Coturnix japonica: one gene and its partners. The protein of the gene in region 1 purifies or fractionates together with the protein of each later gene. This does not show direct contact. Links are inferred from orthologs where the notes say so. Each region holds a gene or a part of one and is shown in the gene's direction. Other genes may lie near its edges. The genes, in order: SOS1, EPS8 and FRS2.

The links.
Region 2: the proteins of SOS1 (region 1) and EPS8 purify together in Homo sapiens (affinity purification with western blotting; 5 studies listed by BioGRID and IntAct, with this or other methods). This does not show direct contact. The link is inferred for Coturnix japonica from reciprocal best matches to the Homo sapiens genes SOS1 and EPS8.
Region 3: the proteins of SOS1 (region 1) and FRS2 purify together in Homo sapiens (affinity purification with western blotting; 5 studies listed by BioGRID). This does not show direct contact. The link is inferred for Coturnix japonica from reciprocal best matches to the Homo sapiens genes SOS1 and FRS2.

The regions. Positions count from the first base shown.
Region 1 is NC_029518.1:14,500,497-14,504,244, reverse strand, and holds the start of SOS1 (son of sevenless homolog 1), read left to right. Parts: upstream 1-1,046; 5' UTR 1,047-1,163; coding exon 1,164-1,250; intron 1,251-3,748.
Region 2 is NC_029516.1:57,733,693-57,737,440, reverse strand, and holds the start of EPS8 (epidermal growth factor receptor kinase substrate 8), read left to right. Parts: upstream 1-923; 5' UTR 924-1,219; intron 1,220-1,491; exon of another isoform or gene 1,492-1,598; intron 1,599-3,748. UniProt on the Homo sapiens protein: Signaling adapter that controls various cellular protrusions by regulating actin cytoskeleton dynamics and architecture. Depending on its association with other signal transducers, can regulate different processes.
Region 3 is NC_029516.1:32,187,333-32,190,980, forward strand, and holds part of FRS2 (fibroblast growth factor receptor substrate 2), read left to right. Parts: intron 1-77; 5' UTR 78-103; coding exon 104-169; intron 170-1,945; coding exon 1,946-2,132; intron 2,133-3,648. UniProt on the Homo sapiens protein: Adapter protein that links activated FGR and NGF receptors to downstream signaling pathways.

The DNA.
Region 1 (3,748 bases):
GCCTGCATCTCCATGAGCCACTCAAGAAGCAAGGCTGGGGCCAGAGCAAGCAGTCAGTATGTAGGCACTTGGCTGAGAGAGGGGCCGGGGACTGCTTCCCCCCAGCATGGCGCCCTCTGAAGCAGATTAAACCTGAAGGTACAATATTCTGCAGACAGCGTTAAATGAGGAGGAGCTGTTTCTTTCCTTGAGGGCAGAGAGGCCTTGCAGAAATATCACGACAGATTAGAGGGCCGGGCAATCACCAGCAGCATGAATTCAGTGAGAGCAAGTGCTGGATTCTGCAGCTGCGTTGGGCAGCCCAAGGTCTGTGTGCAGGGTGAGAGGCTGGAGAGCAGCTGTGCTGATAGAGATTGTGGGGTTCTGGTTGGTGAACGAAATTATTAGTGCCCAAGGGAGGGCTGCAAGGATGGACAAAGTCCTGCAGGCCAAAGCTGTGTGAGGAGCGGCTGAGGTTTGCTCAGTGTGGAGCTGATGGGGGCTGATGGCGGCTGCAGCTCCTCACAGGGAGCGGAGGGCAGCGCTGAGCTGTGCTCTGTGTGACCGACAGGGAGCGGCACGATCCTAAAGAGCAGCGTGCCCTTCCAGCTGCGACAGGTCGGTGTGCCTGTGTTTCCATAGAGGTGATGGACTCATTGCTCAGCACACCCCGCAGGGGCCGCCCGCTCAGTCCCGGTCCGGCCTCACCCGCAGGCGGCGCGCGGGAGGAGCGTTGCCGTGCGGTCACCTCCGACCCGGAGGCCGCGGCGGCGGCGTCGGTGCTGCGCAGTCGCGTTGCGGTCGTTGTGTCAGTGCGCATGCTCCGCGCTCCGCCGGTCGGTGTGTGGCGGTGTCTCAGTGCAGAGCGGGAGGCGGCGGCTCTCGCTCCGTGCTCCCGACCCCGCCCCTCGCGGCCCGCGCGCCGCGCCGCGTGACCCCGCTCCCGCCGCCCCCGCGACCTTCCGCGGGGCGACCACCGAGAGCCGGGCGGGGAATGCGGCAGCCGCAGCCTCCCCCCGCCGCTGCGGGGCTGCCGGCGGCGGCGGGGGGCCCACGGGCCTCCTGCTGAGGGGCGCCCGGCACCTCCCGCCGCGGCCTATCGGCCTATCGATCCTCCGCGCCGCGCCGAGCCCGGCCCGCCCTGCCCTGCCCGCCGCCCCTTGCGGGCCGGGCCCGGCGGCACCATGCAGGCGCAGCCGCTGCTCTACGAGTTCTTCAGCGAGGAGAACGCGCCCAAGTGGCGGGGGCTGCTGGTGCCCGCCCTGAAGAAGGTGAGGGGGGAAGTGGGAGCGGCGCTCGGCCCTGCCGGCCGCACCGGGCCTTTCCCCGTGCCTTTCCCCGTGCCTTTCTCCGTGCCGCCTGCAGCGGGGGGTTGGGGGTGGGAAGCGGCCCGGCCTCTCCGCTCTCCCCGCTCTCCCCGCTCCGGAAGCGGCCCGGGGAGCGCGCCCGGCCGGGCCCGGCGGCGCTGTGACAGCCGGGGCTGCGGACACGGAGCGGCCCCGGGTTGAGCCGGACCCGACGCCGACGTCTCCCCGCCGGTAGGATCCGGTAGGACGCCGTCATCCTCGGGCTGGTGGAGCTGACAGGCGCGGACCGACGTTGTGTGGAAGAGGGGAGGAACGGTGAGCGCCGCTCCGTCCTCCTGCAGCCGGGCCCGGGAAGTGCAGGACGTGAGGAACGGGGCTGTCTGACGCTGCCGCCCGGACCGGCCTCGGGTTGGCAGCGGGGGGGTGCTTGGATGCACCGCAGTGCTTTCTTATGGCTGCGTGTATCCATAGCTGTGAACGGCAGCTGTTGGGTGAAGGACCTGCTCCTAGGGCCGGGTGACCTCTCGTTCCCCATCGCAGTTTGGAGGTCTCAGGCACTGCAGTCGTTCCACTGCAGCATTTCTTCCCAGTTTCCTCTTGTGACATGTCACCCTGTGTTTTGGGCCTGCTCTTTGAGCCCCATCCAGTTACTGGAAGTCTTCTCACTTGTCATCCCCGTAGCGTGCTGTGTTTGTGCTTCAGTCCTTCTTGGTAGTCACTTCTTTGGAAGCACACAGCCGAGCAGACTGTGCGGCTCACAGCTTCTCCCTGCACCTCTGTGTGTGTGTGGATGGCCACCAGCTGGGGGCTGGAGCCACCTGCGGCCTCCAGGCACCTTCCAGAGGAGTGAGCTTGATCTGGGCATTCTGAGGCATGACAGTTTGTCAGACTTGGAGCAAGGGTTGATGCTGAGTAATGGAGAAGAACGCGAACTGAGGATCTCAAGGCAAAATTTAGCCTGGAATTATTCTTTGTGTTGGGAGCACAAGATCTCATCCTAACGAGCAAAAGACATTCACAGGGACACCTTGGATTAAGAACGCTTGCTGGAGGAGCTGGATGAATTGTTTAGGTGAAAGGAAGAAGAAGGGTCAGAAGTCACAAACAGCAGCCTATGGAGATAAGCTTCCACGGGTGCCAGCTGGGCCCATGAGGTACAGTTGTCTCGGTTTCATGGTGTGGTGTTCTCTGTGGTAGTGGGGCAGCTGGGCTGAGGTGGAGTTAGTTCTGAAGCTCTGATGCTCAGATGTGTGACTGTCGAGCAGATGTTAGTGCTTTGAACCTCTGCTTTCATGAGGTTTACACCTGTTTCTTATCTCCTCTTGTGCTGTTGCCCAGCATGCTCCAGTAGTGTAGTCCTCTGGTGCTTCCTGCTCCTGTCCCCATAAATACAGAAATAAAGAACCCATCCGTATTGTCACCTTCCTTGCTGAAAAGCCAGATTCTGGAGTTACAGGAAAACCAAATGACAGATGAGAACATACAGCTGTTGTCTTACTAGCTTTTTCATTAATTAAGAGGCCAAATGGAGCATTTTACTAACTTAAACAGGTACAAGTTATCTTGTCTAGTGTGCTTAGTCCTGATAACAGCCTCATAAAGTAGCAAACCTATCCTAAGCATCAGGTGCAGCCAGGAGAGCTGCGGTGTGCTTGCTCTGACAGCTGTCTGTTGTCTCTCAGGTGACAGGTGCAGCCCTGCAGTGGGTAGCTCAGGGCTGTCCCCATGCTCTGCCTCTTAGAGCAAGTCACTCCTGGAGTCTGTGTGTGGGACCAGTAAAACAGAGAGAATGTGGCAGTGAATGCCAGCAAGACCAAAGGGCAGAACCTTCCCAGAGGGAGAGCACTGTGTGCCTTTGCTAAATTGCTGCAGCACGTGCTCTCTGTGCTCAGGTTATCAGGTGCTGATGTGCATCCCGTCATGAACCAAGGAGGATTTTCCCTTCTTGCCTCCATTGAGCTGACCATGCTCTGATGCTCCTGGGTAGTGGATAACGCTTCTGAATTCCTCCTTGAGACCTGCTGGGTACCCAAACAGGATCATTGCGTTCTTCTGCATAGCTGGAAGAAAGACTTGGGAAGACCTATGTTGAATTACCGTTGCTGATTAGGAGAATGGTGTTTAACGTTGAAGCATGTATACCAGCGTGCTGCATTCCCAGCTGTTGGGGAAGGCTGCCATTACTCTTTCGTAAATACATGTTGGCTTGTAACGTGGAGCTCGAACAGCACCCCTAGAATCACTTCCTGAAAAATAGGTATTGTTGAGCAATTGCAAAGGGTTTTGTCTTTCCCAATGACTTATTTTGATTCTGTGCTTTTTGTTACCAAAAGCAAGCGTGTAGTAAGTATAAATTGCTTCTTCTGTCAATGAAGCCTTACAAGCATGTGCCATGTATTTCATTAGACATGGGCCTTAACAATGGAGTCTGTGCTGCGCTGTCTTTGCATTCAACAGCTGCA
Region 2 (3,748 bases), on another chromosome or scaffold:
CATCCTCCCTACCCAACTCCATTATTTTACAGGAGATTGTTCTTTTCCCTGCTTCCTGGACCCTCTGCTCCAGGAAAAGGAGCAAGCAGTGATGGTTCTGCCTTCACTGCCTCTGCAGGTGACTCACAGAGTGGTATGGAGAGCATGGAGCTGCCAAGTCCCATATCCTGGAATCAAATGGGAACTGCAGAACACAGCTGCTCTTTCCCTACCTTATAATTCCCTGGTATGAGTTGTTAAAGGGCCTGGAATCAGAGAAACTTTGCATCGGAAAAGACTCATCGCTGCGTTTGGGTAACTGCACTCAGTCCTGCTGTGGTGTTTGCATACTTTAGACATTAAAAGATTGATGCTCCTCTTAACCGTACATTTATGGGGAACTTGTAAGTCTTTCTAAGTCTTTCAGGATTGCCAATTCCACTGTATTAGGAACCAGGAACCCAACCTCAGAAGTTAGCTTGCTACTATACACAAAGGGAGGTTCTTTTTGCCTGTCATATAATCAGAATCATAGAATCATTTGAGATGGAAGGGATTCTTAAAGGCCATCTGGCCCAAATCCCCTGCAGTGAACACCCACAGGTAGATCAAGTTGCTCAGAGCCTGGTCCAGCCTGACCTTGAGTGTCTCCAGGGATGGGATATCCACCACCTCTCTGGGCAACCTGCTCCAGTACCTCACCACCCTTAGTGTGAAATACTTCTAACTCATATCCAATTTAAATCTCCCCTCCTTTAGCTTGGAACCACTCAAACCTTGTCCTATCACAACAGACCCTGCTTAAGTGTCTGTCCTCTTCTTTCCTATTGCTTTCCTTTAGATACTGGAAGGCTGCACTCAGGTCTCCCTGGAGCCTTCCTTTCTCCTGCTGAACAGCCCCAGCTCCTTCAGCCTGTCCTCGGAAGGGAGGACAGAAATTTTGGGAACTCAGTGAAAAGAGAGATCCTCAGTGAGCAGCCTGACTGTAGCAGCGGCAGAGCCTCTTTACAGAAGCCACCAGCGTAGGCAGCATTACAGCAGCATTACACGGAGCGTGTGTGCGGGGTTGTTCCACGTGTGAGCTGTCTGGGCAAGGGGCACGCGTAGCCAAATGGAAACAGCATCGATAGCCAGGAGATTTCATCCTCAAATGAGACTGAGGACGGGAGCGTGTTGCTCTCGCAGCCGACTCATCCCACAGGCGGTGTAGATACACCTATTTCCTTGCTTCGGAGCCTTGGTAGGTTTTGTGTGTGGCTTTGTGGCGATTCTGGCTAACGCTTAGTATGACTGGAACCAAGCCGCCTACCTCAGGCCGGCTCCGGGGGGCTGCTTTCAGTACCTCGGCATCCTGCGGGCGGCTCGCACGCAGCAACAGGAGAACGCTGCTGGCCGACGGCCGAGCCCGCCCCGGCCGCGGGCTGGGGCAGGGACTGTGTTCGGGGCGGGGCGGGCCGGCAGAGGGAGCTCGGCTCCGTTCCGCTCCGCGGCTGTTCCCGCTGCCCGCTCCGACACTTTGTTGGTAGCGCTGAGCCCCGCGCTCGGCCCCGCACCGAACCACGCCGCGCTCTCGGCCACCGGCGCCCCCGACCCTCCGCGAGGGAGGAGAAGCCCGCAAGGTAAGAACGGGCTGCCGGGGAGAGATTCTCTCGGGTCTCCGCTCCCCGCTCTCACGCTGCGGTCCTGAAATCCCCCCGGGCAGCCAACCCGGCTCCGTAACGCGGCGAGCTGCGCGGCGTTAAGCCATATGAAGGAGGATGAGGCTGCTCGGGCAGGGGCCGCTGGAAAACTCCTTCGGTGTGTGCGAGGCTCCGCGGCTGGGGACGGTGTTGGGGTTGCAGCCCTTCCGTCTGCGTGTGTGCCGCCGGAGGTGCCGCCGCACCTCGCACCTTGCCCGAGAACCCAGTGCGGGGCTCCCGTGTCCCCGGCGCTCGTCACCTCCCTCCCCACCTGCTCTCAGGTGGCCGTGCTGTCTCTCCGGCTCTCGTATCATTGTTTTCCACCTTTTAAGCTGGCTTCCCAGTCAGCGTTGCTGGGAGCTGGCGAGGAGCAGCTGGCGGGTGCGATAATCCCGTCGTATGCCCGTGTTTCCCGGGTGCGCTGACCTGCTGCCTTCCTTCCCCGCTCCCTCTCGCTGCGAACTTTCCCTGCCATTCTTCCTCCTGCTGCTCCTCTCCCCGCCATGACTCGCTCTCCTGTGCGCTGTGCACCAAGGATGACCTGGGCACGCAGTGGAAAGCAGGTTTTCTGGCATTTTGGTGAATGATTTTAGATGCTGTTGGCCCCCTGTAACACCTCTGTAGGGCCGGGTTATGATCATGAACACCAAGACACCTTCACTTCTGCTCAACCCTTGTCTCGAGCCAGCTGGCAGCAGGGCAGAACAAGTTTTTCATAAGGATATTGTTTGAGAACCAACACTCACACCCTAAAAACGTGCTTTGCATTGACTCGTGCTTCCTGTACCCCTCCGAGGTACAGGCGTTCTGCAGTGTGACCTTTGGTGGAGTCTGTTTACTTCAAGTGAAGTACTGGAGATAAAAATATTACTCCGCTAGGTTGTGTCTGCTGAAATATTAACTAAATGATGGATCTCAGGTTTCGTGGCAGTGTTGACTGTGTTTTAGCACAGCCTCTCCTTCCTTTTGTCATCAGAAATAGGGTTCTCCTCCCTTCCTATTAACCATCTTTCTTCTCCTTTGTGACTGCAATGGCTATGTCAGCTACAAAAATCGCTTACATGGAAGAACCTCCATATGACCATTTTTGTTGTTAGCAACTGGAAATACTGAATCAGCGTTGTGTGAGCAGTCCCTATTCCACAAAGAACCACTGGAAATTCTGCAAACAGAGCCCTCTAAGAAGTGGTTGCCTCTTAGACCATCCCTATCGTGGGCTGCTAGTTTCTTTCAATGAGTGGTGAGGGCTGCAAAAGAGTTTGTGAGGTTCCCAGGAGGTGTAGAAGATGCAGCATTTCTCAGCTCGATTCACAGCTCCCTAGTGCAGTGTTATTGTTAGCATACGGGTACCTCCAGGTAATGAGATACTGTGCTCAAAGGTCTGCTGGAGCTGAGCATGGCTGCTTTGTCTGGGGGAGGCTGTGGATATACGACCGGCTTTGGCCAACGCTTGTACTGTCACATACTCATAATGGTTGAAGTATTGAGTTTTGCACTCTTAGAGCTCTCAATAAATGTTTTTGATTGTGTGTAATTTTGAAAGCACTCAGAGCATCCCATTAGGTATAATTGGAAGGAGGTAGCAGCCCCACAGGGAAGAACACCCAATAGGTGTCTGTCTATTCATAGTGATAATACAGAGCCCAAGATTGTTCTAAAGACACTTCTATTGTGAAAAACACACCTTAAAAAACACCTTCCACTTGGTGACAACTGAATTCATGAAATACAATTGATTTTCTTTCTGTCCATATTCTAGCTGTGAATGGCAATTCACTCACATTAACTGCTATATATTTTTTCCCTTGTGGGTGAAAACTTATTAAAACCTAAACGCATGAAGTTGAATAATTGGTGCCCTGAGGGTCAAAATAGATCAAATATATAAAAACTTTGCTCTCCAAGTCTTCTGTTGTCTCACTACCGTAGCTGAAGACTGCACAGTGAAAGCTGCACTAATAAAGTGCTTGTTAACTTTGATTTCAGTGTCTAACACTTACTTCTCCTACATTTCTGTTTATAATTGCCAAGTCAGCCTTGTCTTCTAGACAGTGAATGACTGATCAAAGGTGAGTGGTTTCCCTGAAGAA
Region 3 (3,648 bases), on another chromosome or scaffold:
ATTGGGTTGTTCTGTTGATGGTGCTCATGTAAATGAACATGTTGGGTTTGGTTGTGATTTGTTAATTTTTACTTCAGAGATCACATGGTCTTCTAAAGAAGTCATGGGTAGCTGCTGTAGCTGTCCAGATAAAGAAACTGTCCCAGATAACCATCGAAACAAGTTTAAGGTAAGCACCTGATGTAGCATGCTGTCAATTGTTTTCTTGCTTCCTTGTGGAGTAGGTAGGTGATGGGAAATACCTAAATGAAAATAGGAGAACTGCCTGATGGGTCAAAGCATTGCAGACCTGCAGGTATCTGTGGCTACAGGTTTATCTTGCCCCTTTGAAAATCTTTTCTTAGCAGCAGTGACAGAAATTCTGTAGACAGACCGACTTTCAGTCTTAAGGGTGGAGAAGCAGCCTCATGTTTTTGGTACAACTCCATGCATTTTGTAGAGCCCAGTTAAACACCGTTACTTCTAGGAGGTTGCGGACCATGTGAGTTGAGTAAGAAACATAACTGGGTAAGTATGATAATAAACCTGGAAGTGGGGTCAGCAATGAAATATTATAGGACTGCAGATTGTACTTGAAGATCACTGTGAATTATATCATTTGGAGAACATTTGTTTTCCTTAACTTAAATAAGCTTCATGTATGTGTGCTTCTATCCCTTGTCTTGCTGGAATTTAGAAGCTTGTGAACTCTTGTTCATGTGCTTAACAACAAGAAGCTACTAAAATGAGTGCCTTTAAGTAAACATACCTTTGCATTGTCACACAACTCAGATCTGCTTCTGTGCTCTGAACTTTCTCTCCAAGTTGGCAAAGGAATGTAGAGCTTCCATAGTGAAAAATGATTCATACGTTGCCTTCGGGCAACACTGAAATGAGCTTTAAAACAATGGGAATTTCTGGAAACGTTTAATATTATCAGTACAAAAAGCTGAAGGATAAAATATTTTTCTGTCGCCTTGGGGTGTTTTGTTTTTTTTTTTTAATGTATTTGACATCACTTTGTGCAACAAGTTCCTCTTTTTCTCCTGGTAGATTTTCTCTATTGTTTGTGTGGTTCCCTGATTTAGCAGCAGGGGGGAGAGATGAAAGAATGTAATTTGCAAAATGAAGCAATTTGTCATAAGCTTCAGTGGCAGATGAAACTATTTCTAGTTCTTTTTAACTGACTAGATTTCAAGTAAAAAATGCCTCTTTAAGGGGTAAAATTAATTGGTACAATAGGGAGCTCTTTGTAACCTTTTTACTGAATAAGAAAGAATTCCGCTACAGGCAGCATTGCGAGATAAAATACCTTTGGGGGAAAGTACAGTGTCAGAATTCCATAAAAGAAGCAGACCACCTCCAACTGGTGGAAGAGCAGAAGGAATAAGCATATAAGCTCTAAATGTAACGTGTTTTCACATAAGATAACCATAGGATATGTGAATTATTTGTTGACATTACACTGACAGACAAAACAATCTAAAACAGTCTGAGCACAGTGCAAGGCCCTACAGGTATGTGAAGGAAGCTTCATCTTATAGCCTCTTCTCAGTGCTTTTCTCAGCTGTAAGTGGGGTTACATGACAGAGTAAATAATTTTTTTAGAAATGAGACTTTGAAAGATTTAATTACCTGAGATATCCCCGTGTAAATACTAGAATGTGTACGTAGTGTCAGTTTGAAACCTCATTAACCTTAAATCTCTTCTATTTTAAGTATCACCACAGATTTTGCGATAATGTTTTATATTCTCACTCATGTTGCTTTTAAAATATGTGTAATTTTAATTCTGGGTTGGAAGAGCAAAGGAACTGGTTTGGTGAGTTTTTTTCTCTTAAACTTTACCTAAAGGATCACAGCTCTTATGATGGAGCAGATAGATGCATTAGTGAAACATTAAGATGATAATAGTAGTACTGGTGCTCAGTTACTTACCTAATGTTATTTAACTTCCTTTCTGTAGGTTATTAATGTGGATGATGATGGTAATGAGCTGGGTTCTGGCATAATGGAACTTACAGATACAGAACTAATTTTGTACACCCGTAAAAGGGACTCCGTAAAATGGCACTACCTCTGTCTCCGTCGCTATGGCTACGACTCAAATCTTTTCTCTTTTGAAAGTGGTAGAAGGTGTCAAACTGGACAAGGTATGTTGAATTTTTGTATAAGGAGATTTTCAGAAGTGTATTTGATAGCTGACAACTTGTTTAATCATTATTATGTACTTCCCTGCCCTTTGACAATGGTTATAATGGACATAGTTTTATACGTGGATGCAGTTCCTGGAAAAAAAAGTAAGTGGAATGGGCTTATGGTAAAATGAGAATTTGAGTTGTTCACAGTTTTTGTTCTGGAGCACTTGGTGTTTTGGGGTTGATAGCTCTGGTCAGCTTAGAAGGTTTTCACAGGGAAGTTTCCCTGCCATTGGAGTTTGAGTTGGCTTTCAAGGAAGGGCAAGGAAAGCTGGGGCTGTTGAGGAATCTTTTCAGAGCACAAAGTTTGCTATTTTTTATATTTTTAAGAGTCTGAAACGCTGGAGTGAGCTGGTTATGCTTACCTTATTTTCATTGTCTTCAGCATCACACCTTTGTTTCAACCTCTTCTTGAAACTAATATCACTTTCATTTGTATCAGTGACATAGTTCTCAATTCTTTTCAAATTTTATATGAAGACTGGAAACTCCAGCTATGCCGACTTATCATCTGTGTGCCTTTGATCAGGAAAAAGTCAGTTTCCTTTCCAGCCCTCAGATCACCCCCATCTTGGCCAAGACAGGCTTTTCTGTTGCTGTTTGTAACAGCAGGCCCTGATGGAGGAATAGCTGTATTGGGCTGAGGTCTGAGCCTTGTTTTGCATCTTCATGCTGTGATGCAGCTCTATGTACTTGGAATTCTCGTGTATTGATCTAGTGTGTTATTTGAGTTCTTATTTTCTTAGAGATTTTCAGCATGTGGTTGTATCTCTTGTAAATCACGTTATTTAGCAACGGCAAAATACTTTTTAAATTCACTATTAAGTTAGGAACAGTAACAAACTTGATCCTAACCAAACTTGGTCAAACTTCATTGTCAAAGCAGCGGTGAGGGCAGACAATTAATTTACAGTAAGAGTTTAGAAGGCATTCTTGATTCAGCTCCTAGTGAGAAATTGAGATGCTTTTAAATGTTACAGAATACTGTGCATTAAACTAAACTTTCAGACTTCTGAGGAAAAAAGTGTGAACTTTGGTTTGAAAAAATGCACTTAAATGGATTTTTGCAGGTTTAATTCACTGCTTCATTTAAATATATGAAGTAGATACTAATAAAACTCAATTGAAAGTGATATTTTGGAGGTTCTTTTCCACAGCCACTTACCAAGTCTGCAAGCTTTTTCACTGACTGTACAACTCTCTCTACCCTTTCAATTTCGTTTGCTTTTCAAGAGAAGATTAAGTAGACTTTGTGAGCAGCAACCCTTTCTTCCCTCTTTTGTTTCTTGCCTTCCTTACATAATATTAAGTACTGAAGAATACTGCTCTGCCATTTTTACCAATTGTACTAGTCACTGTTCTTGTTGTTTATTTCTTAGATTTGTTATTATTATTGGTTTTGGTCTGTTGAGGTTTAAGTATCTGGTGCAAATTTTTTTGGAAGTACAGCAAAAATGAAATGTAGGCTATT